3 linked regions of the Canis lupus familiaris genome follow. The protein of the gene in region 1 binds, or shares a complex with, the protein of each later gene. Links are inferred from orthologs where the notes say so. Each region holds a gene or a part of one and is shown in the gene's direction. Other genes may lie near its edges. The genes, in order: FGF2, FGFR1 and API5.

Region 1 (7,100 bases):
AGAAATAGGGACACAATTCGGTCCACGACAGTTAGCTACAGTATGTAAAGCTAAGTTGTAAAGTTGCTCAATGAAAAGTATAGAGATTCCATAGAATCAGATACCTAGATGATGCCTAATTTTCCATTGAAGATTTTTTTTTTAAGATTTATTTATTTATTTATGATAGACAGAGAGAGAGAGGGGCAGAGACACAGGCTCCATGCTGGGAGCCGGACGCGGGACTCGATCCCAGGACTCCAGGATCACGCCCTGGGCCAAAGGCAGGTGCTAAACCGCTGAGCCACCCAGGGATCCTCCCCCATTGAAGATATTTTATAATCTTTTTAATCCTTTCAAAAGTCATTCACATTTTTCCCTACAATTAAAAAAAGTATATGCTATTCTTATGCTTATTTATCTAAATGAATTTTACAATACTCTTGTATAGTTTTGAAAACTGTGCTACAATTTAAACTAGTATGGTTTTAAATTTTTAAAACATGGTGAGAGGAATCTTACATTTGTATTTTACTATGTTTCCATCCAGGAACATCTGGCTTTTTTTTTAACTCTCATTAAATCTTTGTGTTTTTCATCATTTGGATTCTGAACAATTCTTAATTTCAAAGCAATTTATCTTGGAATGGTGAGATAAATTTCTCTTTCCTTTGTAAAAGTTTTTAAATAGTTATCACTGGAACTTAGTGGTTTTTAAAAATAATGAGTTTTGTACCCGTTGTCTTACATTTATTTTTATATTCATCCTTATAGCTGGGTAAATTGAGAATGTAAGTAACTTGACCACTCATAGTTCCAGTAAGAACAAATTGATTGCATCTAAGAATAGTGTGTCTATCTCTGCATGTGTACAAGTGTGTGTTGGGAGGGGGCTGGGTAGGAACTTGAGACAACTATCTTAAGGATGTCTTCTTGGAATTAACACTATTTATCTTGGAAACCTAGATTCCCAGAACTGGATTAACCATTTCCTATGATATCTCCTCTCCTGGATTTGGAAGGACTAGGAAACAAGGGGTTATTGTACATGTAATGAAGTTCCTTGAGATCCACAGTCCATCAGCATACAAATTACTTGACTGCATGTAGCTGTTCCTCAGATTTCTGGATACTACTGTTAAAAAAATGTTTTGATTTAGATTTTATCCCTTTGCTCTTGGAATACTCTGCTTTCTCTGACAGAGTTCAAGGCTTATTCAAATCTACTTTCTTACAAAGTAAGTGGCAATCTGATGAGTGCTATAGTACCAGTAAGCATTCCCTAGGATACCTACAGAGATCATCCGGAAGGGATTATTATTATTATTTTCAGATTTATTTATTTATAATATATATATAGAGAGAGAGACAAAGACACAGGAGAAGGGAGAAGCAGGCGTGAGGCGCGACTCGATCCTGCGACTCCAGGATCGTGCCCTGGGCCAAAGGCAGGCGCTAAACCGTTGAGCCACCCAGGGATCCCTGGAAGGGATTATTTGTTTTAACAGATAAGCAGTGCAGATAAAACCGGTCCATTTTGGAGAGGTCAGAGAACATATACCAGCCCAGAGAAGAGTATGCTTGGTTTTAAAGCTCCAGTCTTCTATTTACCAACATAGAAATGCATGTAGATTTACTCTACATGCATTAAACCTCTCATGGAGACTTAGAGCAGATACTTTTGATGCGCTGATCTTTTGAAACCAAACATCTTTCTAAATAGAGGTATTCTCACATATTCCTAGAGGCTTTCTCTAATCCCATTGTACCCCCAAAACTGAATTACCCCTTGTCTGACATCTTACACCACCACCTCATTTTACTCTTCTAGGGGCATTTTGTGGTGTTCATCCTGCCCATGGATCGCACCTCTGTCCGGAGGTCCTGTGGGATCCAGCACCTCCCACTGAACTTAGGCAAATGCTTTGCATATAGTAGACACTTGAGACTAAGAAACTTTCTGGATGAATATTTGACTAATCCGTAGTACTTGTTCTATTCTACTGAAAATTACCCAAATCCAATTAACTTCAATTTTGTAGTTTGGGATTCTCAGAAAACTACCCTCCCTCCTAGGAACACCTAGCCATTTCGCCAAGGCTAGTGCCAGCTTCGGAGTAAGACAGCAGCACCCTTCCATCACAGAAGGGGTTGAGGCCTCTCCTCGTCTTTCCACGTCGTCTACTTCAAGCCAGGGTGGTAGAAGGAAAACCTTTTACTCCCAGCAATGCGGTCTGCTCCCCTCCTCTGGCCTCTTTCTTTCCTTTTGTTAGTCAAAGATTTCAGCCTCGCCTTCAAGTTTACCGGTGTGCGCCCCACGCAGGCCCCTTCTGGAGATCAGAGGTGTTCAAAACCCACACGGGGCACAGAATCACCCCCCCCCCATTTCCGATTCCTTTACTTCGGGGGGGGGGGAGTGGAAATCGTTTCTTGGCTTTGAATCGCTGACAAGGAAAAAGAAGGGGGGGGGAGAAAGTTGCCTTTAAACGTTTCAAAGTAGAGTCACGGCGGGTGGCACAGCCAAAGCTCCGCAGCGCGGAGACGGACCCCGTGCGCCCCGGCTGGCGCGACCTCGGGGGAATTTCGCGGGGTCGAGTCCCAGAGCCGCGGCGGCCTCCGCGGCCGCCCCCCCGCTCGCCCTCCGCACCTCCCCGCCCCCTGCGCTCGCCCCCCCCACCCCTCCTGTCGCGCGCTTGCGTGCTGCGGCCGCGGCTCCCGACCCAGAGGCCGGCCCCACGGAGCCCGGAGCGAGGAGGGGGCGGCGCGCAGGAAGGGAGGAGAGCGGGGGCGCGGGGGGGCGGGGGGCCTTCGGGGGTGGGGATGTAGAAGATGTGACGCCGCGGCCCGGCCGCTGCCAGACGGCCGACGCGGTGCCCGGGGCTGGCTGCTGGTGCCGGCGCTGCGCTAGGGGAGGCGGCCCTCCCGCGAGCGGCGGCCGCGGACACGCCCGGCCCCGGCCCCGGCCCCGAGCGCAGCTCCCCGAGCCCGAGCGCAGCTCCCCGGCCTCGAGACCGTGCTCAGCTCCCCGGCCCCGGGCGCAGCTCCCCGAGCCCGAGCCCGAGCCCGAGCGCAGCATCCCGGCCCGCGCGCAGCTCCCCAGGGCAGCCGGCGAGGGGAGCGGCCGGGCGGCGCGAGGCTGGGGGCCCGCGGGCGCGGCCGCGCGCTGCCGGGCGGGAGGCTGGGGGGCCGGGGCCGTGGCCGCGCCCCGGACCGGGTCGGGGGCCGGGGCCGGGGGGCGGCGGCGGCTCCTCGCGCGGCTCCGGGGGCGCGGACACCCCGGCAGAGCCCCGGGGGCGCCATGGCAGCCGGGAGCATCACCACGCTGCCCGCCCTGCCGGAGGACGGCGGCAGCGGCGCCTTCCCGCCCGGCCACTTCAAGGACCCCAAGAGGCTGTACTGCAAAAACGGGGGCTTCTTCCTGCGGATCCACCCCGACGGCCGGGTGGACGGGGTCCGGGAGAAGAGCGATCCCCACGGTGAGTGCCGGCCCGCCCTTCCCCGCGCTCCCTGCGGTCCCCCCGCCGCCCCATTCCCGCCGCTTCCTTCCCTTCCCTCCGACCGCAGCGGGACGTGTGGTTCCTTTCCGCGCGGCCCTCGCGGTTTCGGGTTCACCGCTCGCCCCCTCCTCGCCGGAGCTGCGGCGTCGGGTTAGGCGCTTCCCCAGGCTCCGGGCTGTGCCAGGTCCCCGGGTAGACCCGGGCCTCGCCGCCCCCCCCCCCCCCCGCGCGGACCACCTGTTGCCGCGGGGATGCCCAGCGGCGGGGAGGTGGGCGGGGAGGTGAGCGGGGAGGTGGGCGGGCTCGCCCTGCGCGCCCCGGGCCCGGGAGCCCAAGCAGGAGGGACCCAAGCGGAATAAATGCTCTTTATTGGAAAAATACCTTCCCAGAGTCGTGCCCTTAAACTCCGATTTGGTAGGATCCGAGCCAGCTGGCACACTGCTCTCACCCATCTCGTCCCTTTTCTCTTCAGTCCTTTGTCGTGTTTTTAGGGATCGCATTTTCGTAGGGGGGGGGGGCAGGAAAAGGGGAGGGGAGAGGGGAAGGAAAGGGGAGGGAGGGAGGGAGGGAGGGAGGGAGGAGGAGGAGGGAGGGAGGGAGTGAGGGAGGGAGGGAGGGAGGGAGGGACAGAGGAAAGGGAGGGAGGGGGAGGGAAAAGGAAAAGGAGAGTGGGGGGGAAAGGAAGGACGGAGTGAGGCCGGAGGAAGGACGGCGATGACGGACAGAACGGAACGGAAGTGGAGGGATGGGGTCGTGGGAATGAATGGACGTCTGACAGTGTCAGTGCCTTTCACTTCTTTCCTTCCCTTCCTTTTCCTTCCCTTACCTTTTCCCTTCCCTTCCCTTCCCTTCCCTTCCCTTCCCTTCCAAGGAAAAGCTTAAAGCAACATTTAATATTCTTTACAAGATGGAATTTGTGACAAGTTCAAAAGGAAAACTTGCTTTAATGCTTTAATGCTCAGATATCTATGTGATTTCCTCAGAAACCATCGTGGGCTTAGCCAATCTGGAAAGTGCTGTTCAAAGCAGTGTCACACTGGCCGCCTGAATGTATCCTTGGAGATACTGGAGCGCTTCTGCATTGAGGCTGGTGCTCACCATTGATGGAACCCTTCCTGGACAGCCTCTCCTCTCTCCCCCCCCCCTCCCCCTTTTTCCCAATTACCGAAAGCTTTCAGGGCAAAAGATAAGACTTTGAAAAAAAAAAAAAAGATATAGACTTTGTTAATAAAGTGTGACACACTTTTCTTTTAATAGTGACAAGAACTGCAAAAACTTTAATCTTCCACCTGCAGTTATTAGTTTCGGGACCTTGAGCCAGGTTCTTCATTCTTAAAGTGGGGATAATGTCTACCTTGCATCAGGTTTGAGGATCAGATGAGAATTTCTCCCAAGTGCGCAGAGGACTCGGTTTACTACTGTACACTTTTGTGTTCAGTAAAAAACAATCCATTTGTGGTATAGAAGTAACACTAGCCTACAGTCATTGGTTCTCAAACTTGAGGGGTACGTTAGAATCACTTGGGGGGTGGGGGTTATAGCCATTGCCCAACCTTGTCTCCCAGAGTTTCTGATTCCTGAAGGCTGGAGTGAAGCCTGATGATTTGCATTTCTAATAGTTCCCAGGTGATGCTGACCTGGGACAACACTTTGAGACCCAGTGATGTATAGAAAAGAGGAGGAAAGGGGCATGAAATGGACTGATTAACAGCACTGATGGAATTTGAAATGAGGGAAAGAGGATCAGTATATTTTAACTGTCATCCTGTGAGAGAGCGTAAAACATCCGTTTTAAAAGCTGTGTGTCTGGCCTTCCTTAGTGGTTTTTCAGGTGAAGAATCCAATCCTCTGTTTGCCTGACAAAAGACCAGCAGGAGTCCAGAGCTCCACTCCACAGCAGTTACCTCTTTATCAAAAGTTGCTCATGGAATGTCTGTCATTCACACCTGCGGAGCCATAGGTAGAGGCCACCTGAGTTGACCTGAGCTCAAGCAACCTGAGTTGACAAACGAATGGGAAATGTGCTTTTATATTGCTGGAGTATTTATTGATTCCAAAATAGCAACAAGCAAATGATACAGGTCTTTAATTTTTTTTCAGGCATGCCATAATTTTTGGATTTTATTAAGCACCCACATTATCCAGTAAAACTGAAAAGATGCTTGTAACCCAATAAATATGTGTTAGTACTGTTTCTCTATTTTAGTAACTTGAATAGGTTTCACAAACCTAAGTTTTAAACTTGGTGTTTGAAGTTTATTTTGCAGTTGGCTGCTAGGTTAGCACAGCAGATTAGGGCCAGGTGCCTATATGTCCCAAATAGTATTGTTCTTTTCTAGTAGCACAAATGGTCTGTAATTAAAAATAAATAGAGATGCCTGGGTGGCTCAGCGCTTGAGCGACTGTCTTCAGCCCAGGGTGGGATCCTGGGGTTCTGGGATCAAGTCCCAGTGCTCCCTGCATGGAGTCTGCTTCTCTCTCTGCCTGTGTCTCTGCCTCTTTCTCTCTGTGTGTCTCATGAGTAAATAAATAAAATCTTTTAAAAAAAGGAATAATAAAAATAAAAAAGGTATGTTCTATGATTAGAAGACAGAAGAACTCTCCTCCAGATTAGGTTCATGTTGAGACTTCCCCTAGTACTTTCTTTTTTTAGAGACACTTCTTAATTGCTGCATCATTTTTTTTCTTTGAAGCTTTTGATACTCTTTCCTTTAGAGTAAAACTGTACAGGGGCTAGTGTGGGAAGATAATTCTGAATTGCCATAGCACACTACTGCCCTTGTAATAACAGCTGTTGACTTTTTCTTCCTAACTATGAGTTTTTCATAATCTTATTTTAATTCACTGGTTCTCAGAGGGGTGATTTTGCCCCTGCCCTACCACCCCCAACGTTTGGCAATGCCTAGAGACATTTTTGGTTCACATTTGGAAGGGTGCTACTAGTACCTAATAGGTAGAGGCCAGGGATGCTGTTAACCATCCTACAATGCACAGGATACATCCATTATCCCCAGCTAAAAAATTTCTGACCCCCAATGTTAATAGTGCTAAGGTTGAGAATCCTGCCTACTTGATAACTAGCTAAAGACAGCATGTTAAAAGTGAAGAGTAGAATACTTCTCCAGATTTGTGGAAGGTATTGAATTTTTTTTTTTAAATCACCTTTTACCAGGTAATAGACTGACGAGAATAAAAACCTAAATGATGAATTTAGACCACTTCTGTGTAGCCCAACCTGGACATAAGTTTAAATACACTATATTTTCTGACATGTCAAAGATGTACTGATAGTTGACCAAACCAGAGCTAGACTTTCTTTGGATACAAGAAAAAAACATGATTATGGATGTGCTATAACCATATCTTCCCAACCACATCTCCATTACCCAAACAAACAAGACTGACCAGAAAACACCGAGAAAGAAAAGCAAGAGCTCATGGTTGCCACAGTTTCCCACTGAAGTATGGCTCAGATAGCCAGACTTATTTGAAAAGTTGAAAATTGCTGATCTTGTTCCTCAAACTGTTTTGTCCAGTTGACCTGAAAATCTTTGAGAGATTTATTAACATTTTCTGTCCAGACGTCTTGTAAAATGCAAATACCTTTGAAAAGAAGAGTTCAGT
Region 2 (7,611 bases), on another chromosome or scaffold:
CCTGGTATAGTTTGGAAACTAGTTAGAGACAAAGAGTAAAAAAAAAAAAAAAAAAAAAAAAAAAAAGTGACTAACAAAGTTAAGTCTCAGATCAATGGGATAGACCAGATCAAGAGAGTTCCAGGGAAAAAAAAAGAGAGAGAGAGTTCCAGGGGCTGTCAGGGCTGGGAGTGGCAGGGAAGGCCTATCTAAGGGGGGAGAGCATGAGTTTGGCCTTCTAACACAGCTGGAATGAGCATTTAAAATGAGGAAGGCCTGGAGTGGTTGGTTAAGCATCAGACTCTTAATCTCAGCTCAGGTCTTAATCTCAGGGTTGTGAGTTCAAACCCCCTACTGGGCTCCACACTGGATGTGAAACCTACTAAAAAAAATGAGGAAGACCCAATGGGTGAGCAGCTTATAAGGGAGGTTTACACCTATCTTAATCAGGAGCTATAAGGTATAAGGATGAAAGGATAGGCTTGTAGGGGAATAACCCTTTAACCATGGCTAAAGTTCATTTATTCTGCAAATACATGACCTCCTGCTTTTTATTTGGTTGTTAATTTATTCAACCATTCAACAAATATATATTGAATATTTACTCTGGCTAGCCAATAAATAGCTATTGAACTCCTACTATGGGAATGACACTGTGATGGTTACTGTTCTTTCACTTGCTGGTCAAATAGAGAAATAACTTAGACTACTTCCTTAAATTTGGAAGGAGGTTAATCTCATTCAGTATTCCAGCTTCCATAAGATTGAGGGTTTTGTGGGGTAGCAATGAAGTATACGTCCTACCTTCACTTACATACTGACTTTTTAAAAAGATTTTTTAAATTTATTTGAGAGAGAGAGAATGCGCATGAGTGGGAGGGGGCAGAGGGAGTGGGAGAGAATCCCAAGTAGACTCCCCCCTGAGTGTGGGGCTCAATCCCAGACCCTGAGATCCTGACCCTGAGCCTCTGAGCCAGAAGTCAGATGCTTAATGGACTGAGCCACCAAGGCACACTGAGGTAGTAGTCAGGAGTGGGAGAGAATCCCAAGTAGACTCCCCCCTGAGTGTGGGGCTGGATCCCAGACCCTAAGATCCTGACCCTGAGCCCCTGAGCCAGAAGTCAGGTGCTTAACTGACTGAGCCACCAAGGCACACTGAGGTAGTGACTTCTATTTGTGTAATACTTTAGTGTGCTGACATCCATTATTTATTTTTAAGATTTTATTTATTTATTCATAGAGACACACAGAGAGAGAGAGAGAGAGGCAGAGGGAGAAGCAGGCTCCATGCAGACAGCCTGAGGTGGGACTCATCCAGAGTCTCCAGTTTCACGCCCTGGGCTGCATGCAGTTGGCGCTAAACCGCTGCACCACTTATTTTAGTTGATTATCGTGACAAACTTCTGAGAGAGTCTCAATGTAATAGTTAAATAAGTCTTGATTTTTTTTCACATGTATGACTTGTCCAAAATCAAACAGTTCATAAGTAGGGGACCAGAATAGAGGCATCTTTCATACCTAGTGTGACATACTTCTCACCCTACCAATGGCCCCACCCTGGCAACCTGGGAGCCTCAGAAAAAATACAGACTCTTGGCTCCTTTCTGGCACATCTTGATTCCTTAGGTCTGAGTAGGTCCAGGAATTTGTATTTTTTATAAATTTCCCCAGAGAATTTATGTGCATTTGGATTAGGGAGCCGCAAGATTATAGATTATAGTGGCATTTAGACACTCTTCCTCGGGTTCCACAGAACCTTTTCCTCAGGTACTCTGGATGGATTCTGATTAATTTCCAAACCAATAACATGCCCGATTCCCACCACTCACTCTTTGCTTCCTAAAATTCACTGCAGGTTGAAGACTTCTGGAGGCCCAGAATGGTGCTGCAGCATTCGTAGCCCGCACCCCCCCCCCCCCCCCCAACCTCCGCTTCCCGGTAAACCACAAAAACCTAAACTCTGTGGCTGGGAACCGTGAGATGGGAGGGAAGGGTCCGAAGGGGGCGTAGACCTTCTCACGGATAAAATACAGCTTGTATTTATTGACTGTTAACTATGTGGCAGGCCCTCTCTTCATCCTCAACTCTAATGAAAAGCGCTATTATCCCCCCTTTTAGATGAGATGAGAAAACTGAGATTCGGAGCGAGAAGAGTCATTTCCCCAAGGCACGCAGTCAGTGCGACTCCAAGGCCGGTGCTGGCAGGGACACCCTCGGGACCACGGCGTCGCCCCCCCTCCCCCCCCTCCCCCCTCCGCCCCCCGCTCCTGTGTCCGCCGCCTGGACCCCGGGCGCCCAGCGGGCGGGGCTCCGAGGCCAGGCCCGCGCGCCCCGGACTCAGACTGCGGGGAAGCTGCCGCCGAGCGCCGCGCCGCCGAGCCCGCTCCCCGCGGTCGGGGGCCGCGGCTGGAACTACAAGGCCCAGCAGGCAGCAGCAGGGGGAGGAGGCGGGGGTGGGACTAGCGCGGGTGGGAGTGAGCGCGAGCCCTCGCGCCTCGCCGGCGCACAGCGCTCGGAGCGCTCCTGCGGGCACTGGTGCGGCGGCCTGGGCGGCGGGCGGCGGGCGGCGGGCGGCGAGCGGGAGCCCGGAGTCCGGTCCGGCGCGCTGCGGCCGGGGAGCCCGGGCCGTGCCCGAAGCCGGGCGGCGGCGTCCCGACCCGACCCGACCCGACTCCGCTTAGCGCATTGCGGCGACCTCGCCTTCCCCGGCCGCGAGCGCGCGCCGCAGCTGGAAAAGCCGCGGAAACCCAGGACTTTCCGCCGGTGCGAGGGGCGCACAGTCCCAGGGCTGCAGTCGGGCGCGCCGCGGGGCCGGGGCCCCCGCCGGGCGATGGAGCCCGGGCTGCGAGAAGCGTGAGGCGCCGCCGCCCGGTTCTGGAGAGGGGGCCGCAGGGTCTGGAGACCCCGGGCGGCGGACGGGAGCCCTCCCCCCGCCCCGCCTCCGGGGCACCAGCCTCGGCTCCATTGTTCCCGCCCGGGCCGGAGGCGCTGAGCCTCGAGCGCCGGCCGCGGGGCTCTCGCGGCTCCGCCAGGACCCGAGCGGAGCCCGGGGGCGGCGGGCCGGAGCCGGGGCCGCGGGCGCCCGCCCGCCCGCCCGAGCCACGGCGGACTCTCCAGCGGCGGAACCGCAGCGCCGAGTGAGGTAAGAGCCGCGGCGCCCGCAGATCCGGGGCGGGCTTGGCGTCCGAGCGGCCCCCGGCGCTGGAGCCTCCCGGCTGCGTGCTTCCCCGCCGCAGCCCGGGCGAGTCCGGCGCCTCCCTCCGGTCGTTACCCGCTGCCTGCGCCTCCCGACCCCCTCCCCGGCGCTCCGCGCCCCCCTTTTGTCTCCCCTCCCGGCTCGCGTCGCCTCCTGCGCCCCCTCCCCGCGCTCGTCCCGCAGCTCCTCCTGCCGCCCAACTTTTCCGCCAACTCGCGCCGGGGAGCTGGCGAGGCGGCGGCGGCGGCGAGTCCTGGGAGCGACCCGGCCCGGGCGAGGGCGAGGGCGAGGGCGAGGGCGGCGGCGGCCCGCGGTGTCCTCGGACCGAGGTGGGGAGGGCGCGAGCGGGCAGCGGTGGGGGGACTGCGTGTGCGTGTGTGTGCTGCATTCCGGCCCATCTCCTTCTAGTCCGCCAGTGGGGACTCCCCCCAATCCAGCAGGTAGCTGTGCGTGGGACGCTAAAGCCCCGGGGTCTTTCTAAGTCTTCCTCCACCTCGAGGGAAGTCTGGGGTCGCGCTTGGGGGTGGGCGGAGAGGGCCGAGAAGGGGGAAGGAAGAGGAGGGGTAGGTTAGCTTCTCCTGGAATAGGTTTTAAGGAGGTGTCGTCACCAAATGGCTGAATCTGCTATTGCAGAGAGCGAGAAAGGAATTCCCTTTTCCAGAGGGGGTTATCTTCTACTGAGTGGATCTCAGAAAGGGTCGGAAGTTTGTGGAAGGGAGGGCGCCCAGCGGGTGATGTTAAGCCCCATTATGGGGTCGCGGGGGGGGAGGGGAACGTTCGGTTCCAAGCTGGTTCGAGGAGGTGGGGGAAGGGATGAGGGTTTGGCCGGTGCGGTGCACTCGGCCGCGCTGCATGTTGCTTCTCTGGCTCAGACCCTCTGCCCACCCCGCTCCCGCCTCCCGTTATGTGTGGGGTTGGGAACAGAGGAACCCTCGTTTGCAGAGAAATTTATTGACATTGCGGATGGATGGAGTTCGTTGAGCACATAACCTATGAAGGCAGCCAGACCCCCTCGGGCGGGGGTGGCGGGGGTGGTGGTGAAGCTTCCTTCTCCTTTCTGGGCCCAGAAAAAAAAAAAAAATTTCTGCGGTATCTTCCTCCCCTAACACTTTTTCCCCCCATTTTCCAGATGTAGCCGCCGCATCTGGTTTCGTTTCACCCCACACCGCAGCCCCATTAACATTTCCCTCCCTTCCCCCTCACCCACATTAAAACTGGGATCCTTCCACTTGTCCTTACCACCTCCCTCCCTCAACATTTTTTGAGACTGAAGTTGAGGCGTTGGGATTTGCGGAGAAAAGAAAGTTACCCTGGGTCCCAAGTTATTTAGGATCTGAGGGTGGCGGCGCTCTCTCGATAGTGCCGGAAGAAGGCATCGTAGGAGATGGGGCCGGGGGGGGAGGGGGGGGGCTCTAGGGGGGTTGGCACTTGGCGAACGGGGCATGTGCTGGAGGTGGCCTCGTGGGTTGTGATTTGACCCAGAACTGGCTCTGATGGAAGTTTCTGGAACCAGAGCATTGCTTTTTCCGCCCCTTGGGTTGTCGCTGTAGCCGCCGGAGCGTCTGGCCCGGCCCGGCCCGGAGTCGCCGTCGGGTCTCTGGCCACCCGCTGGTGGCCTCCTGCTCGCCTTTCCACCCTCCCCGAGCGAGCCGGGGCGCAGCTGCGGGGGACGCGCGAGGGGCGCGGATGCTCTTGCCGCCGGGGGCTCTCCCTGTGCGTTTGAAGGGAGTTAGTGGGCCGCGGCCCCTGGAAGCTAACGTGGGACAATCTGCTTCTTAACGGCTCCAGGTTTGAAAGCGGGCATTGCATCGTTGGGGGTTCTTGTGGGTTTGTTTTCGGTTTTTGTGTTTTGGTTATATCCTTTGAGGTAGGAAGGCACCTTATGGTCCAAGTTGCGCGAGGGCGGGGAGAGCCGGTCCCTCTCACCCTCTCTTTACCAGTCTCTTTCAAATTGAAAACACTTCTCTGGTTTCCTCCTTTGGGCGGTAGTTTTGGAGGCTGTAATGAAATCGCACTTTCTCTAGACATGGTAATTAAGGTGACTGTTTCCTCCGCAGATGTGCCCTGCCCTTTGCACCTCCGGACCAGAGCTTTTTTTGGAATACCGTCTAAACCGTAGAATCTTAGCCTTGAGACTGTTTAGCAGAAAGTGGCCATTTTTCCTGCTTGGCCCAGGTCCCCGGTTCCATCTCTGAGGCTTTAAAAACTAAGTAGCAGGGCCCCCGGGGGACGAGCCTCTGTCTAGCTAATTACCCCCAAGCCTGGGTCATCTCCCTTCCTTTCAGTGACCAAAGGGGAGACCCATTGCCTTTGGCCTGCCCTGCCCTGATGGCCTGCCTCTCTGATGACTTGTTTACATATTTCCCCCCAGTTGATGGGGAGAGGCTCCAGGGCTGCCACTGACCCCTGGAAGAACACAGGGTGTTTGGGGACTGGGAGGTTGCTGGGGCCTGGCTCCAGCTGGGATGGTTCTGTACTGCATTAGTGACGAGCTCCTTGAAATATCTGTTGCATTCAGTCTTAGTCATCACTAAGTGTCAGCTTTTTAATGAGGGCCATCCGGTGGAAGAGCTGCTTGGCCATGGGTGGCTTTGCTGCCTGCTTTTGACTATGCCTGTACAAATGCCCATTTTGTGGGCATCTTCACAAAATGGGATTTGGCCCAGAGTGGGCACCACTTATTTTGGTTCCAAAGTAGGCAGCCTTGGGTGTTTCTTTTCCTTTGGCCTCTGGCCACGGAGGTTGTTAGAAAGTTCCAATAGAATAGCAAGTGAAGCAAAAGCATAGGAAGAAGTAGAGGAGGAGCATTGCAGATACTGTTATTGTTCATCTGTCTTTAGGGAAATTAGAATACATCCAGGCATCCCTATGCGTGAGCTGGCTTTAGCCTTGTCGGACTCCAGACGGCAGGAAGAGCGCACTGAACATTGAGTAGACAGACTCCAGCCATGGAGACCCAGGGAAAAAGCCATGGGTTTTTGCTTTTAGTTGTGTGCTTTGTGCTTGGGCTGTTGTCCTGAAAAAAATAGACTCCTGAAATAGAAGATTTGCTCCTGTGAGCTTGGGCCGTTAACAGCCAGCTTCTACAGACGCACTCTTCTTGCCTCCATTTTTAAATCTCTTTCATCTAAATGTCTTTTAGGGAAGAGCTTCCTGGTAAAGTTTGCGCCTGTTGCTGCTAGAGGCAAGGGAGGTAGAATTGATTCAAATGTCTTGTTCTGAAAAAAGCCTCATCCCTTGAGATGAGTTTAATTTCCTCTTGGGAAATTTGTCTTGCGTTTGCCTTCCCAAGAGCTATGTCAGAGGTCTGAATGCACCAGAGACTGGTGGGAGTCCAGATGTGGAGCTTTAGAGAAGACTCTGCTGTTTCCAGAGAGGATTTTTTTTTTTTTTTTTTTTTCCAGAGAGGATTAAGTACCACACTTGGGCTAGGATATTCGCTTTTCCCCCTAAGGTTGCATCTACCTGAAGCAGACATTCTCTCCTCACTACCTCTCCAACTCGCAATTAAAGAAGATATATTTGGTCCTCCCCCCCCCCCTCCCCCCCACCAAGTAGATAGCTGTTACCTGAGTGAACAACTCCAAGGATATGATGGTGGTCCACCAGTCCATTTTGTCTTCAAATGCAAGGTTTCCCGGATTATGGTGGAGTAGGTAGTGTTTCACTTATTAATTTTTGGTATAGCTCATTCCCAAGGACATTTGGACACTTTTTTTTTTCAACAAATTAATAAGTCTTCAAAGAAATCAATGTTTTGGTGTTAACTTCCTTAAGTCTGAAGAATCAAAATGTATAGAAGATGTCTCATTTGCAAGAGTATCTGTAAGAGTTTCTTTTCAATTGGCCTTTCTTTCATTCACTTATTCACTTAACAAATCTGTCAGCATCTGCCGTGTACATCTTGGGAACTAAGTGTATTAGTGAAAGTTAGGCACAAACCCTACTTCTTAAGGAGCTTGTGAGCTTTGGAAATTCAGAAGAATGAGATCCTTAGCTAGAAGGCTCAAAGACTTATGGAAGAGATAACTTCCTTTTTTTTTTTTTTTTTTGAGGTGAGATTCAGAGAATAAGAAAGCGGCGCCCCATTAAAGATGGTGGACGAGCAAAGAAGAGGGCAGAGCATGGAGATTGCGTAGGGTCATGCTGGCCCATAGAGATAGAACACATGCCACATGTGGTCTTAGATTTTCTAGTAGCCACGTTTGAAATTAAATAGAAAGAGGTGGAGCTTGCTTCTATTAATTAATTGGTTGAGATTTTAATGATCTATTTGATTTAGCCCCATATATCCAAAATGCTATCATTTGAACATGTAACCAATGTAAAAAATTATTGATAAGATACTTTCCCTTCTTCTTTTTTTTTTTTTTCCACACCAAGGTTTTTTTTTTTGTTTTGTTTTGTTTTGTTTTTTAATGATAGTCACAGAGAGA
Region 3 (7,721 bases), on another chromosome or scaffold:
TTGGACCCAAGCCCGCATGTGACCCAAGCTGAGCCGATCCGAGTCTCTTTTCTGGGACTTGATTTTGCCTTTGTAACGAGAGAGAGGGAGTTCTATAAAATGACCTCTGAACCTACTCACAGGTCCAGCGACAAAGAAAGAGGATATACGTAAAATTATGGAACTCATTTTGGAAAAACCGGGCAAGATAGAAAAGCACAAAGAAGGAAATAAAAGTCACCCATTTTTTTAAAAAGATTTTATTTATTTATTCAGGAGAGACACAGAGAAGGAGAGAGGTGGAGACACAGGCAGAGGGAGAAGCAGGCTCCACGCAGGGAGCCCGAAGTGGGACTCGATCCCGGGACTCCAGGGTCACGCCCTGGGCTGAAGGCGGCGCTAAACTGCGGAGCCACCCAGGCTGCCCCTAAAAGTCACCCATTTCTCAGACTTTGTGGTAATGAAAAATGGGAAGCAACCCATATGCCCCTAAAGAAACAGATAAATAAACTGTGATACCTCAATAGTAGGCACTACTGTCATGGGGAGATCTACAAAACACATGCTAAGTAACCAAAACCAGGCACAGAACAAAATGTGCAATGTGCTACTGTTTACTTATATTTATTTAAAACTATATATTGCATATAAAGGCCTATAAAAATATAAACCCTACTGGTGGCCATAGTTCTCTCTAGAGAAGAGAGATATGAAGATGAACTTTTCGTTTTAATGGGAAATATTTTGTATTATTTGAATGTATTAGGACAGTACCCTATTCTTAATACTACTTTAATTAAAGGAAAAAGTCAAAATTATGAAAAGTAGAGTCAGCTGAGACTGGAAACAGGGAAGCTTTTTTTATTGAGACCGTTCATTTGAGAGAGAGAGAGAGAGAGAGAGAGAGAGGTAGCAAGAGCAAGCATGAGCCAGGTGTGGGGGTTGGGGGGGATGGAGATGCAGCTCCTGGGAGATCCCAGGACCCCGGGATCATGACCCAAACCGAGGGCAACGCTTCACCCAGAGCCCCCCAGGCGCCCCACAAGGAAATCTTTAAAGAACTGTGACCACCACGCAACCCTGAGGCGATGGGGCCTGACCTGGGGTAGAAGGAAGGGTGACGAAGAGACAAATGTGTGACAGATTCGGGAGCAGACTTGGGACTTGTGCTTGATTGGATGTAGTGGGATGGACGGGGCTGGGGCAGGGGTGAGAGGCGGCGGGATGGGGCCGGGGCAGGGGTGAGAAGCAGGGGGACGGGGCTGGGGCAGGGGTGAGAGGCGGCGGGTGCACACTGGGGAGGGCCAGGAGACCCTGTGCTTCCCTAATGGAGAGCGCAGCCCCGGGGCGGCTGGGGTTGGGGGGGGCACCTGCGTGCATCCCTCCGGGTCGCAGTCCGTCTGGACTGGAGGTGGCACGGGGGTTCCTGCCCACGGAGCTCTATGAATCCGCTCGGTAGCCTGCCGGAGCTGGTCCTGGCTAAGCACAGCTTGGTTATTATGAGACGAGTCATTAGTACCCACCCCCCACCTCCCCACCTCCCACCCCCACCCCCCGGCCCAGCCCGGGCCTTGGCTCCCGTGAGTAGCCGGAGATGGAGCGAGCTGTAAATGGTGTAAGGCGGGGATCCCTGGGTGGCGCAGCGGTTTAGCGCCTGCCTTTGGCCCAGGGCGCGATCCTGGAGACCCGGGCATGGAGCCTGCTTCTCCCTCTGCCTATGTCTCTGCCTCTCTCTCTCTCTCTCTCTCTCTCTCTCTCTCTCTCCGTGTGTGATATCAAAAATAAATAAAAATTCTTAAAAAGAAAAAAAATGGTGTAAGGCTTCTCCAGAAGAGAGTCCGCGAGGAGTGAGAACTTCAGCGGCCCGATGCCCATGCTCACGGACAGACAGACACCGAGGACGCAGGGCGTGCTGCTCAATAAAGCTACCTGCAAAGTCAGGGAAGATTAGGTTTGAAGGAGAGGCTCCAGGGCTCAGCGATGGAGCGTCCACCTTGGGCTCAGGGTGACCCCTGGTCCCGGATCGAGTCCCTCATCCAGCTCCCCGCCAGGAGCCTGCTCTCCCTCTGCTTGTCTCTCTATGTCTATCATGAATAAATAAATAGAATTTTTAGAAAAAGACAGTCCTCAGCTCAGAAATGAAACTGCCCATGCCAACGTGTGAACCCTCAGGCCAAATTTGATTTGCAATCAGGTCTCTGCTCCAGCTGGGACCTCCTTCCTGTCCTGCCCCTCTGCCCCGCATCCCTAGCTTTGGAAGGCGTCTCTGAGCCCTCCCGGGCACTAGGGGAGCCAGGAGAGGGGACATTAGTACCCAAGAAGGGCTTGGGGGCGCCTGGGTGGCTCCGGGGTTCAGCGGCTGCCCTCTGTTCAGGTGGCGATCCTGAGGTCCTGGAGGGAGACTGAGTCAGGCTCCCTGTGCTCCTCCCCCGCCTGCACGGGGCGCGCGCGCTCTCTCTCTCTCTCCACCGGGCCCCACTCCAGACATTGATAGAAACCAGGTCTCAGGCCTGGGCCGCCGTGTGGACCTCCAGGAGGGGCTGATTCACTGTCCTCCATCACCGCCTTGTCCCTGCTGCCCTTGACCCTTGTCACGGGGCTTTGTCACTCTCAGGCAGAAGGTCCCTGGGGTGGGCCTCTGGATGGCCCTTCACCTCCCAGCCGCAGGGCCCGCCCCCTGGCTCCCGCAGCAGCTCGGGATGCAGGTCGGTCCCCAGGTCCCCACCTCCTCCCTGCGGCCCCAGGGGAGCCAGACTTGCTCAGCACGCCTTCAGCAGCAGGCTTGGCATCTCCGGCCACCGGCATTGGAGTCCTCCAAAGGGAGTTTGGAGTCCTCCAAAGGGACCCAGGCTCAGGGGACAGAGAGAGCCGGGCCCTCGGCAGCCCACGTCTCTAAGCACATCTGTCAGAAACAAAACCGAGCCAAACCTCAGCAATTCCTCCTTGTGCGCCCTTTTTATATTTATTTTATTTATTTATTTATTTATTTATTTATTTATTATATTTTATATCCATTTATTATTAGTTTGTTTATTTCTTTATATTTCATATTTCATATTTATTATTTACTTATTTTAATATTCTTTTTTTAGCAGATTTTATTTATTTATTCGTGAGAGACACAGAGGCACAGACCCAGGCAGAGGAGGGAGCACTCGAGGCGGGACTCGATCCCTGGACCCGGGGTCACGCCCTGAGCGTTGGGCCGATGCTCCGCCGCTGAGCGCCCCCGGGGCGCCCCCGCGGTGACGATCCTCGTGTGAGCCCAAGTGTTTGCTGACCACTGCGGGAGCGTGCTCTGCACACAGTGAGCTGGCTCGCCCTCTGCGGCTCCCCGCTGGAACCGTCCCAGCCGCCTTCGTGGACCACGAGCCGACTTGCATCCCGGGGTCGCCCTCCGCGCCGCCGGGAGCCCCGCCCCCCGCTCCCCGCTCCCCGCTCCCCGCTCCCAGGAGCCCGCGCGGCTGGAGCCGCCGCCGCCCTTTGCACCGCCGGGCGGCAGGGGGCGCTCGCGGCCCCGGCGGCGCGCCGTCCGCCCGTGGAGGCCGCTCCCTGCGCGCCGCGCGCTCCGCAGACGTGGGGGGCGGGGCCGGGCTGAGCGCGGTGACCGGCGGCGGCCCTGGCGGCGGCGGGAGGTGTGAGGGTGCGGGTCGCGGGCTCGGACGGCGGCGGCGGCGGCGAGCGCGACGACAGCGCGACGGGCCCGGGCTTGGCGCTCAGCATGCCGAGCGTGGAGGAGCTTTACCGCAACTACGGCATCCTGGCCGACGCCACGGAGCAAGTGGGCCAGGTGGGTCCCCGCGGCCTGCAGGGCCCGGCGCCCGCGGCCTCCGGCGGCGCCCCCAGGCCCGGCCCCCGCTCCCGCCCCCCGCCGCGCCCCCCGCTGCTCCCCGCGCAGCCCCGCCCTTGGCCAGCCAACCGGGAGCTCTCGGGCCGCGACACGGCGAAGCAACAGCGGCCCTGCGCGGGTTGGGAGAAGCGGGAGCGGGGCGCGGGCTGAGGCCTGGAGAGTTCCCCGGGCGCCCCTGGGTCGGGCCCTGGGGGGGGATGGGGGATGGGTGCTGGGGGGCCCCCCCGGGAAGGGGTGAGTGAGGAGGGTGCGGAAGATGGGTGCCCCCCCGGGAAGTGGTGAACGAGGGTGGGTGTCCCCCGGAAGGTGGTGAATAGGAAGGATGGGTGCTCCCCCAGGAAGTAATAAGAAAGATGGGTGCCCCCCTTCCCCCTGGAAAGTGATAAATAAGAAGGATGGGTGCCCCCCAGGAAGTGGTGAACGAGGATGGGTGCCCCCCGGAAGGTGGTGAATAAGAAGGATGGGTGCCTCCCTTACGCCCGGGAAGTGATAAATAAGAAGGATGGGCGCCCCCCCTCCCGAAAGTGTTGTGCAGGAGACAGACCGGTGGGGCAGGGGGGGACAGGCAGCTGTAAACAACCGCCGCAGGAGCCCCCCGCAGTGTGTCCTCAAGACACAGTTTGAGCGTGGGCTCAAACTTGGGCTCCTTTGCGAGTTTTCAGGGACCCCAGTCCACTGAACTTACGGAGTTGGGAGGGGGGCGTGTTTTGGTGGAGAAGAAGCGGCTCCCCCAGAAGCGCGGCTGATCAGTGTTGTTAGAGATCTTAGGCCGCGTCTTCTCGGTGCTTAGAACCCCGTGTGATTCCCCTGCTCCTCTGTCGGCCGAGTGGGAAGTGGCAGGTCCTGTCGTTGGCCCGGCCCTCCCGGCCCCCTTTTTCTGGACACGCGTAATTCAGGTAAATTCTTTTTGAGCCAAACACCACCACCGGAATTGGGATGTCGGGGCCTTCCTTAAGCTTCCCCCAGAGTTGCAGATTCACCAGCGTAAAGTACCAGGCTACTTTCCTCCCCTGTATATTTCCATCTGTTAGGGAAGTTTGAAGACGTCAGTGAGAAATGTACCGAGGGCGTGTTGTAGGATGTAGGACAGGTGAGTGTAGGTCAGCCCCCAGGGAGGAATTTTCGGCCCAGTAAGACAAGGTTAGAAAACCCATCATCAGTCATATTTTGATCTTGTCGTTGTTGTCCCTAGCAAGATTTAGTAGTGAAGGTATTCTCCTTCATCGTGATAGAGTTGAGGAAGATTGTGGCAAATTATTCCTGAAATTGACTTTACCGCGGATCAGCTGAGGAGATAGGTAGAAGCTAGAACAGTGATTCTCAGTTTGTGGATATGCCTCCCAAAGACGTACGTCAGGAATTTTTTAGGGAAACTAGAAGCAGTAAACATGGTCATGTCCCATACCTGCGCCCTCACTTTGTGCTGTATAGTAAAAAAAAGTTGACAGCCACCTACTTAGAGTCTTAGGGCAAACAGAATCCAAACTAGAATTTCACAGATCCGTCCTGAATACTTGAGAGTGGCTGACGTTTTCCTTTTAGTGTCATCTTTAATCTTAAATACCAGGTAAGAGTGAGAGTTCTCCCTCAAGACGTTCAAGAAACGTCTTTTTCAAGGCATAAATCTGCTTTCAATTTGGAAAGAGCGTTTAAGAGACATGTTTGTAAAAAAAAAAAAAAAAAAACGAAGAGGGTCTTTTTCATTCAGGCTTCAGTGAAGACCCACGGTTTCATTTATTCAGTACATTCTTTGAGCGCCTACCGCGTGCTAAACACTGTGCTAGTTGCTAAAATTTTAGCACGATTCCTTAGCAGGATGTTAGATCGGCACCTTCACGACACTGCAATGACAGCTGTCAGGCAACTGTTTGAGACGAAAAGACCTGTGCGTAATGAAGTGCAGGGACTTGTCAGCCTCAGACAGTGAATTCTGCGAGGACTGAAGCTGGCCAAATTGTAGTGGCTACTAATTCTGCCCTATTGTGGAATAACTTTTCCTTTTTTAGAGAAAAATCCTAAAACGCATATTGAAAAAGATAGTGGGTTTCAGGATATTGCATGTGAATTTTAACTAAAAGCAAGAGCCAACTTAATGGAAGGAACGCCCCTGATGATTTTTTAATGAGAGTTTACATTCTTAGTGTACCAAACCCTGATTTTCATTTAACTTACAAGGTTTACAGTCAAGGGTCATTTCTTGGCAGGTACCTATCTGAACATTTCGGAGACCATATTTGAATTTTTAGTCTAGAACTTCTAATGTTTATTTTTATCCTTTGTCAAAGAGCTAAGTACCAAGTTGCTCGTGCTGCTGCCATGAAGGGAGTGCCCTCTTCGCTACTGTCAATACTCCTTTGAGAATAATGCTTTTGGAATATATTAGGAAAAACACAAGTTCTCCGAGGTTTATCGGCAAATTTTCCTCAAACAGATCAGATCTTTCTCTGGATGAACCTCCTTGGCGCTGTGAATTCATTTATAATACTTGAGACTTGTATTTTATTTCCCTGAGGACTTTTCTTATCCCCTTACTAAATTATAAAGTCTTGAGGTTAAGACTTATTTTTTGTCTCTCTCCTCACACTGTGCCTTGTTTTTCAGTAGACATTTTTTTCTTTAAAGTAGAAGTACATTCAGAGAAAGAGGAAGTATAATTATATTAATAATAAAGTTAATAATTACACAACTAATGTAATGTGCTATATAATAAATCCTACATCAATGTAATTACTGTGTGTACATAATGTAAATGAAGATGAGAACTTTATACGCTCACATCATATATTTAAAGCATGAGTGTGTTTTCTAATAAGCAAACATCAAGTGATAAATTCTAACTGAAGCATAATACAGTGCCTCAAAACCTTCCAGTCTCCCTGTCGTCTTCCCTCCTGTAGCTCCTATTTTCCACCTACCGTTCAGCTCCCCTTCCCCCTACTTGGGTTCTGCTTCTGTTTCCTCAGTTTTCCTTCCTCCGCTGTGTGTTCCTTTACTCCCCAACCCCCTTCCCACTGTACTCTGCCTAGAGCACCCAAATGGCCATAATAGAGCAAGCTGTGGTCCACTATTTACATTTGTTTCTAATTTTTGTGAATTTATTTAATTTTTAAATTTAGATATATTTAGTTTTGTATTATGCAGTTAAATTTTTTTTTAAGTTAAAAAAAGAAAAGAGCCAAACCCCTGTGAAGGGACTGGGGCAGTTAGGCTGAGCTAAGCTCAGTAATGCCTGAACTCCCAAATTCTCCTTTGTTCTCTTACCTGGGAGTATACTGGCTCTTCACGGAAGACTGTAGGCTTGATGGACTTCTATAAGTTCATGAAATAGCACTCTTGGTGCCTTTTTTTGCATGGTTAGCTAAAATCACAGACCAGCCAAGTTGGTAATCTCTGAAAAATAAGTAAAAGTGTTGTTGTCAATAATGTAATAATATTGGATGGTGACAGATGGCAACTACACTTAATTGTAGCGAGCACTGAGTAATATGTAGGACTGTCCGATCACTATGTTGTACATCTGTATGTCAGCCACATTACATACAAACTAGGTTTATTGAGTTAAGAAAGTAGTAAATAAAGCTTGCGTTATCTGTTTTCTTTTTATGTGATACTTGAGAAATATGTTGAAACTACATTGTTCCTTCTCTGAAATAATTGTTTAGGGGCGCCTGGTGGTGCAGTTGGTTAAGCAGCCAGCTCTTGGTTTCGGCTCAGGTCATGGTCTTCAGGTTGTGAGATCCAGGCCCTTGCAGCACTCTGCTGGGCAGAGTCTGCTTGAGAGTCTCCCTCTCCTCCTGCTCCTCCCACTCCAGCTCACGAGCGTGCCCCCTCCCCCCTCAAATAAATAAATCTTAATAGAGAAAACAGTTGTTTATTTCTTAGAAGCTGCATC

What was found.
Region 2: the proteins of FGF2 (region 1) and FGFR1 are in contact, whole or in part, in a crystal structure (PDB 1CVS), measured with the Homo sapiens proteins. The link is inferred for Canis lupus familiaris from reciprocal best matches to the Homo sapiens genes FGF2 and FGFR1. Residues at the interface, in NP_001997.5 of Homo sapiens: His158, Phe159, Lys160, Lys163, Tyr166, Gly170, Phe173, Arg186, Lys188, Leu197, Gln198, Ala199, Glu200, Glu201, Arg202, Gly203, Val205, Ser206, Tyr215, Val230, Glu238, Leu240, Asn243, Asn244, Tyr245, Asn246, Leu282, Pro283, Met284; in NP_075598.2 of Homo sapiens: Glu162, Lys163, Leu165, His166, Ala167, Val168, Pro169, Ala170, Asp246, Val248, Arg250, Ser251, Pro252, Val279, Ser281, Asp282, Pro283, Gln284, Pro285, His286, Ile287, Ala314, Gly315, Val316, Thr319, Asp320, Glu324, Gly344, Asn345, Ser346.
Region 3: the proteins of FGF2 (region 1) and API5 are in contact, whole or in part, in a crystal structure (PDB 6L4O), measured with the Homo sapiens proteins. The link is inferred for Canis lupus familiaris from reciprocal best matches to the Homo sapiens genes FGF2 and API5. Residues at the interface, in NP_001997.5 of Homo sapiens: Asn169, Arg181, Arg223, Lys261, Arg262, Thr263, Gln265, Lys267, Lys271, Lys277, Ala278; in NP_001136402.1 of Homo sapiens: Asp145, Arg148, Glu184, Asp185, Val186, Thr187, Glu190, Glu219, Asp222, Gln225, Asn228, Asp231, Arg237.

The regions. Positions count from the first base shown.
Region 1 is NC_049240.1:18,278,660-18,285,759, reverse strand, and holds part of FGF2 (fibroblast growth factor 2), read left to right. Parts: intron 1-2,887; coding exon 2,888-3,455; intron 3,456-7,100. UniProt on the Homo sapiens protein: Acts as a ligand for FGFR1, FGFR2, FGFR3 and FGFR4. Also acts as an integrin ligand which is required for FGF2 signaling. Binds to integrin ITGAV:ITGB3.
Region 2 is NC_049237.1:27,764,594-27,772,204, forward strand, and holds the start of FGFR1 (fibroblast growth factor receptor 1), read left to right. Parts: upstream 1-3,032; 5' UTR 3,033-3,121; intron 3,122-3,486; exon of another isoform or gene 3,487-3,504; intron 3,505-3,505; exon of another isoform or gene 3,506-3,615; intron 3,616-4,729; exon of another isoform or gene 4,730-4,963; intron 4,964-7,611. UniProt on the Homo sapiens protein: Tyrosine-protein kinase that acts as a cell-surface receptor for fibroblast growth factors and plays an essential role in the regulation of embryonic development, cell proliferation, differentiation and migration.
Region 3 is NC_049239.1:26,743,630-26,751,350, reverse strand, and holds the start of API5 (apoptosis inhibitor 5), read left to right. Parts: upstream 1-3,595; 5' UTR 3,596-3,700; coding exon 3,701-3,769; intron 3,770-7,721. UniProt on the Homo sapiens protein: Antiapoptotic factor that may have a role in protein assembly. Negatively regulates ACIN1. By binding to ACIN1, it suppresses ACIN1 cleavage from CASP3 and ACIN1-mediated DNA fragmentation. Also known to efficiently suppress E2F1-induced apoptosis.